Linked DNA regions of Ovis aries. The protein of the gene in region 2 interacts with the protein of the main gene of each other region in a pairwise test. Links are inferred from orthologs where the notes say so. Each region holds a gene or a part of one and is shown on either strand. Other genes may lie near its edges.

What was found. The genes of interacting proteins can lie anywhere in the genome.
Region 1: the proteins of ZBTB43 (region 2) and PSMD3 interact in binary tests that used the Homo sapiens proteins (3 or more experiments, as listed by UniProt). The two-hybrid records come from large-scale screens. The link is inferred for Ovis aries from reciprocal best matches to the Homo sapiens genes ZBTB43 and PSMD3.

The regions. Positions count from the first base shown.
Region 1 is NC_056064.1:40,071,208-40,074,811, reverse strand, and holds the end of PSMD3 (26S proteasome non-ATPase regulatory subunit 3), read right to left. Parts: intron 3,295-3,604; coding exon 3,180-3,294; intron 3,078-3,179; coding exon 2,958-3,077; intron 2,624-2,957; coding exon 2,520-2,623; intron 2,295-2,519; coding exon 2,139-2,294; intron 1,212-2,138; coding exon 921-1,211; coding exon of another isoform or gene 902-920; 3' UTR 516-901; downstream 1-515.
Region 2 is NC_056056.1:9,310,364-9,314,447, forward strand, and holds the start of ZBTB43 (zinc finger and BTB domain-containing protein 43), read right to left. Parts: upstream 2,810-4,084; 5' UTR 2,690-2,809; intron 1-2,689. UniProt on the Homo sapiens protein: May be involved in transcriptional regulation.

The DNA of each region.
Region 1 (3,604 bases), on a different chromosome or scaffold from region 2:
GGAGCAGGTGGGCTGGGGGCCACAGGGAGCCCCCTTGTGCCCGACCACTCCTCCCTGCCCTTAGGGAGGAGCCCATCCTCCCCTCTCAAGGGCCAGCTGGGCAGGACCCTGCTCCCAACATGGTGCAGCCTTGCTGGAGACCCTTCTCTCCTCACTCAATCTCACCTGAGGGCCAGACTCTCACATTTTGTTTGATTCATTGGAAGCCTAGATTCCTCATTTTAGAGCCAGGAGATCACTGAGTATAATCATTTATTTGACAGATCTGGCAAAGGAGCCTGAGAGGTTTAGAGAGTTGCCCAATTATTTGAGAGCCAGTTAGATGCGAAAGAGTAAACCCAGGCCCTTCTGACCCCAGATCAGAATCTCTTCACCCAGCCCCTGGCCGCCTCCTCATCTACAGCTGCATCAGGTCCTCAGATCATGCCTGGGGCTGGCACTCCCAGGCCAGGAGAAAAATCTGGGCCTGTTAACACTGTACCTGTGAGGGCAAAATAGAGTAACTGATACATAAGGAGCTTTGGAGAACTTTTTATTGTTTAAAAATCATAATTGAAGCTTCAAAAAACATACAGCCTAACACATGTCCCAGTTCCGGTGCCCTACTCCCTGGAGGAGGGCACAGGGCTAGTCCTTCCCATCGTGCTGCCCACACCACTAGCCAGGACCCTGCCCTGGGGAGGCTGCCCGCCCGCCCGCCTGCCCCCGTGTGCTAAGTCACCGGCTGAGGAGGGGCCCTGGGATGAGGTAGGGTGACCGGCTCCCTGCACCCCTCACCCCCTGCACATAGCAGTCTGTGTGCCCCATGTGGGAAGAGGAGCCAGTTCCCTGGGCAGGGGACCCCCATGGGGGAAAGACAGAGCCAGTCCCCACTCACCCCACCCCTCCCCAGCCCCCCAGCTCAAGGGAAGCTGTCGTCGTCATCTTCTGCCATCTCCTTGGCAAACTCCAAGTCCTGCTGCTCCCGCTCTCGCCGCTCCTGGGGAAGAGGACCAGGGGGCGGGGGGGCTGAGGACCAGCCTGGGGCTCGTGGTCTGCACCCAGTCCGACCCACCCAGGCTGCTGAGGACCAGCCAGGCACTCACTTGGTCTGCACCCAGCCCGACCCACCCAGGCTTTCCAGAAACTTCCCCTTCCACCCAAAGCAGAAAGCAGCTTACCTCTGCAGACTCCAAGTCCTTGTTGTAGGATTTGGGAGGAAACCTCATGGCCTGAAGCACAATGGAGAGAGGAGTGAGTGAAGAGGAGGCAGGCACCTGGGCGCTAGGAAATGCACCGGACAGGTGACACTCCTCAGTTTAGTCTGCTGGGGCATGGTGACTAATGACCCGTGACACCACATGATAAACACTAAAAAGAAAATCCAGAGGGATAAACGACCAACCCTCTCAGTCAGGCAGGGAGGCGGACTGACAGTGAGAAGGAGGAAGAATGGATGGCCTATGGAAGCGGAAGGAAGGGCATTCTAGGCAGACATTCAAGGTGTGAGAGGTTAGGCTGGAGCTCAGTGGGGCCAGCTGGGAGGAGGGGAGAAGGGGGGGAGGGGCTGACGGGAGCGGTCCTGGGGAGTGAGGCTAGAGACACAGGGGACCAGTCACAAAGGGTCTTTCATGCACAGCGTTTGCCTGATTTCAGACAAAGTGATATGCCTGGTTTCCTGGGGGGAGAGACCAGGAAAAACAGTGTCCGACAGTACCAGCACCTGACCCACAAGGGCTTAGGAGCCTTTTGTGGACCAAGATGGTGGTCCCACCCTTTACACAATTCAAACTTAGCTAAGTGCCCCAAGACAGTGATTTCATCCAATCTCGACAACTCTGTGAAGCAGGCAGGGCAGGTAATACCTCCCTATCAGTCTCACAGATGGAGACATGGAGACTTCACAGAAGGTAAACGACTCAAATTTGGAACCAAATCCAGAACCGCGCACTCTAAACCCCAGTCTCATCCTCCCTGGCAACCAGACCCTTTAAGTGCACAGAGGCATTGTGGTCCCACAAGCCAAGTCCTTTGCCCCTCCTGGACCCCCAGTGCTTTAGAGACTGGGAGCCGGGCCCCAAACCAAACCGGTCTTCGCTAGGAGCCTGTGGGTGTGGCAGCGTGCTGCCCAGCTGGCTCTGCAGCTCAGGGCCCCTCACCTTGACAGACATGTTGTGAATATCCAGGCAGAAGGAAATGCGCTGGTGGAAGGCCAACTGGGGCTCGCGGGTGGAATAGATGTCAATCATCTCCTTGGACTGGACGTAGCCCTTCTCGTGGTTGATGCTGGCCTCAATGACGCCATCTCGAATGGCCTGCAGGCCCCAAAGGGAGGAGAAGTCACCAGAAAGTCCATCTTCTAAGTCTGAGAACATCCCGTCTCATCTCTTTGTCCTCGCTGATCTCTCCTACATTCATTCACACAGACACTCTGGCAACTTCCTGGCTTCACTGTAAGCTGGGCATGCCGCCGCTTTAGCCGTCAATCCCCTCCCACCCCGCGCCTGAAACAGCGTCTGCGGCCCCCGAACCAGGCCCACCTTGGCGACAATGAACTCTGCATCCTCTGGGCTATCAAGCTGCAGCTTCTGGGCGATGTCCGCCAAGGAGATGCGGGAATAGGAGAGGCTGATCATGCGCACACCTGGGAGGAGGGGCGCGGGGACGACAGGCTGGGCACAGACCCTTCACCTGCCCGGGCAGCCACAGTGCTGTCCCAGCCCCAGAGAAGCAGAGTCCCAGTCCTGCTTCCAGGCTCCCTCAGACCCTGACCCACACTTGTCTTTTTTTTTTAAGTGATCAGGTTACCTTTTCTTTTTTCTAGTTTGGCTGCACTGGGTCTTTGTTACAGTGCAAGGGCTTCTCACTGCAGCGTGTGGGCTTAGCTGCCCCGCAGCACGTGGGACCTTTGTTCCCTGACCAGGAACTGAACCCGCGTCCCCCACCCTGGAAGGCAGATTCTCAAGGCCGACCCACACCTGTCTTGATGACGTTGTGCCGCAGTCGGATGATGAGGGTGTAGGTCCCATCTGCTTGGAACTTCTCCCCAAACTGATCCAGGACCTGGTTGAACTTGGCTAGGTTTCCTGTCCTGACAGCTGCGGTGGGGAGAGGAGTGGGTCAGATGCTGCCCGTGGCGCATACACCAGAGGGGACACAGTGCTGGGGGGCGGCACGCCCTGGGAGGGGACCAGCCTTACCCTGGGTCAGAAGGAAGTAGGGCATGAGTGAGCGCTTGAGGGATGGTTGACGGAACTGCAGCCGGTCTGGGATCTCCCCCAGCAACAACTCCACCACAATCAGAAGCTTGTGCACCTGGAAGGCAGTGGGCAGGGAGCCCACAGGGTGAGAGGAGAAAACCAAGGGGGCTTCAACTCAGCCAGACACACAGGAAAAGAAGGACGGCGGCACTGGACTGGGCCCATGAGAGAGGAAAACACCCTCAAGCTGTGCTGCATGTGGAACTGAGGCTCTGCCTTGGGATCAGGCCCTGGGAGCCTCTGACCCTCTGACTACACCAGGCCCTCAGCTTCATTTCACTTAGCCAATCAGTGCACAATGCTCCAAAACGGCAAAGCTCCAAATTACAGGCTGGATGGGCAGGTTCTATGGCTCAGAACCAGTG
Region 2 (4,084 bases):
CACATTTTCAAAGAGCTTGTTAGTTTCAGGAATCTGCATTCAACAACTTTTTTGGTACTGTGGTAAAATATACTTAACATAAAATTTACCACTGTGACCATTTAAAGTTTACAATTAGTGGCATTAAGCACATTCATGCAGTTGTGCAACCATCACCATTATCTGTCTGCAGAATTTTTTCATCATCCCAAACTAAAACCCTGTATCCATTAAATAATATTCCATCCTCTCCTCCCCCTTGATGTTGAGCAGGGCCCTGTGGGGCTCCAGGACACTGAGGTCTTTTTGTCCTCCATTTCTCATAGGCAAGACTCCAGCCTCCACAACGTTCTTAGTTCCAAAGGGCAGAACAGTTGCTAATTAAGGGAGGAGCAGCCAAGAAATCACCTGAGGTAAGATTAAAGGGACCAGAGAGGCTCATCAAGATTAGGAGAATGAACCCAAGACCCTGCTTGTGTGTTTGTGCTCAGTGACCCTGCAGAATAGATCCCACTAGGCTCCTCTGTCCATTGGATTTTCCAGGCAAGAATACTCGAGAGGGTTGCTATTTATACCCCAAGGGAATCTTCCCAACCCAGGGACTGAACCCAAGTCTCTTGAGTCTCCTGCATTGGCAGGTGGATTTTTTACCACTGTGCCCCCTGGGAAGCCCACCTAAGACCCTGCACACACCCTAATCTTGTCAGCAACCCCGCCCTTTTGAAACTTTGCATAATAATGCAAGACTGTTACTGCCTTAATCGTATCACACATCCCAGTTCAGTTCAGTCGCTCAGTCATGTCCGACTCTTTGCGACCCCATGAATCGCAGCATGCCAGGCCTCCCTGTCCATCACCAACTCCTGGAGTTCACTCAGACTCACGTCCACCGAGTCAGTGATGCCATCCAGCCATCTCATCCTCTGTCGTCCCCTTCTCCTCCTGCCCCCAATCCCTCCCAGCATCAAAGTCAACTCTTCGCATAAGGTGGCCAAAGTACTGCAGTTTCAGCTTTAGCACCATTCCTTCCAAAGAAATCTCAGGGTTGATCTTCAGAATGGACTGGTTGGATCTCCTTGCAGTCCAAGGGACTCTCAAGAGTCTTCTCCAACACCACAGCTCAAAAGCATCAATTCTTCGGTGCTCAGCCTTCTTCACAGTCCAACTCTCACATCCATACATGACTACTGGAAAAATCACACATCCCAGTCTGACTATATAACCTCTCTCTATTCACCTGGGAGTGGGGCACAGCTCTTGAGGCGCTAGCCGTTTGCCTGGCAAAGCAGTAAAGCCACTCTTTCCTTCTCTTCCATGACTCTGTATTTCTGTTGGGCACTGGTGCACAGAGAGCCAAGATTTTGCCAACACCCTCAGCCCCTGGCAAAACTATACTCCACTTTCTGTCTCCATGATTTTGCCTATTCCAGATACCTCATTTAAGCGGACTCATTCAATATTTGCTCTTTTGGGTCCAGCTTACTTCTCCACTGAATACTTTTGTAGAGCAAAGAATGAACCCCAAGCGACTAGGTTTCTCACAATTTAACTGTACATAGTGACATGATCTTCAAACTAAGCACACAGCTCTCCCAGAAATCCTGCTACTGCCCCACGAGCCCCAACGGGCAGAGGATCTCTGACAGACCCTTCCTCAGCCTGTACACAGGCTTGGTTAGGCAGTGGTAACTCAGAGAGCAGGCTCCTTAGAACCCTGGAAGGCACGTGAATGGAGCAAAGGGAAGTAAGAGTCGGCAGTTCTGAAAAACCATGGGTAAGAAAAAGTAAGGATTCATCAAGCTAATTTAGCTTGCAGATGGCCTTCTCTCTGTCCTCCAGAAGCTCCTACACCCTGACCGTTTCGGCGACACCTGTCAGAGCTGAGGTCAGACTGCAGTCTAGCCTCTGATCATGTCACCAGTGTAGGAAGCTTCACAGGGTCATGAGTCACCTGCCATGGCTGAGAGGTCCGGGCAGGCCGCCCCGCCCAGAGAAACCTCTGAGGAGAGGCAGAAACAAGAGAGAAAGACACACGACTGGCAGAGAAACACAGAATGAGTAAAGAGCTGGACCGACAGGCAGGCCGTCAACCAGAGTAAAGACTAAGAGGGAAACACAGGGTCAAGGGACACAGAAGGTGGAAACAGAAATGAAGACAGGACCCAAATACTCGGAGTTGGGCTCGAGAGAAACACAAAGCTGACAGAGGCCGAGTTAATAGGCATAAAGGGCAGGCGATGACAGGTGACAGACAGCAAGAGAGGTGAAACGCAGAGGTAAAGAGACCAGGATCAGCGAAGTCCCAAGCGCAGTCTTTCTCCTGGCTTTGACTCAAACGAGAGGTCGCCAAGCCGCGCCCACTCCGCGCCCCTGAAAGGCCGGAGGGGCGGTCTGACGGGGGAAGAGGGGGTGGCGGGATCTCTAAGCGCTCTGGCCCGCCGAGGTCCGTCACCGGAGGGTGACCTTGGACGAGACTCTGCCTCGGGGGCCTCGGTGTCGCTGCACGAGCTCCGGGCTGGCCAGAGACCGCAGAAGTGGGACCCGGAGCGCCGGGACTCCAACGGTCCCGCGTGCGGCTTCGGCATCCCGGTCGGCGTAATGGGCCTGACGGTGTCAGCGGTGAGCGCGCCGGAACCTGGAGAGAACCCCTCAAACCTCTCCGGTTTCCATTCCTGCCCCCTTGCTACGCGTGGTCCTGACTCTGCCATACCTGCCAAGGGCTCGGCGCTCACATAGCCCGCCGGTGGGATACTTTCCGCCGCAGCCGGCGCCGGGCCCGCTCAAGCCGTAGCTGCCGCGACCGCCTCAGCCTGCGCCTCCCGCCTCCGGAAACGCTTACCGGTCCCCCCCGCAAAACTGCCAGTGCTTCCGGGGGTGCGTCTGAGAGAAAGCGATGTGCGCATGCGGGACTCGCATTCGGGGCGGGGCGTCAGGAGCGTGCTCCGAGAGAACCCGCGGCTGCGCAGTACAACCCGGAGCATGTCAGTCTCCTGTAGGTACTCTAGGGCCAAAGCTGACATTTGCGGAGAGGAGTGCTAAATAATCCAAGTCTATGCCCCAACCAGTAACGCTGAAGAAGCTGAAGTTGAACCGTTCTATGAAGACCTACAAGACCTTTTAGAACTAACACCCAAAAAACATGTCCTTTTCATTATAGGGGACTGGAATGCAAAAGTAGGAAGTCAAGAAACACCTGGAGTAACAGGCAAATTTGGCCTTGGAATGCGGAATGAAGCAGGGCAAAGACTAACAAGAGTTTTGCCAAGAAAATGCACTGGTCATAGCAAACACCTTTTTCCAACAACACAAGAGAAGATTCTACACATGGACATCACCAGATGGTCAACACCAAAATCAGATTGATTATATTCTTTGCAGCCAAAGATGGAGAAGCTCTATACAGTCAACAAAAACAGGACCAGGAGCTGACTGTGGCTCAGATCATGAACTCCTTATTGCCAAATTCAGACTTAAATTGAAGAAACTAGGGAAATCCGCTACACCATTCAGGTATGACCTAAATCAAATCCCTTATGATTATACAGTGGAAGTGAGAAATAGATTTAAGGGCCTAGATCTGATAGATAGAGTGCCTGATGAACTATGGACTGAGGTTCGTGACATTGTACAGGAGACAGGGATCAAGACGATACCCATGGAAAAGAAATGCAAAAAAGCAAAATGGCTGTCTGGGGAGGCCTTACAAATAGCTGTGAAAAGAAGAGAAGCGAAAAGCAAAGGAAAAAAGGAAAGATACAAGCATCTGAATGCAGAATTTCAAAGAATAGCAAGAAGAGACAAGAAAGCCTTCTTCAACGATCAATGCAAAGAAATAGAGGAAAACAACAGAATGGGAAAGACTAGAGATCTCTTCAAGAAAATTAGAGACACCAAGGGAACATTTCATCCAAAGATGGGCTCGATAAAGGGTAAAAATGGTATGGACCTAACAGAAGCAGAAGATATTAAGAAGAGGTGGCAAGAATACACAGGAGAACTATACAAAAAAGATCTTCACAACCAAGATAATCACGATGGTGTGATCATTCACCTAGAGCCAGACATCCTGGAATGTGAAGTCAAGTGGGCCTTAGAAAGCATCACT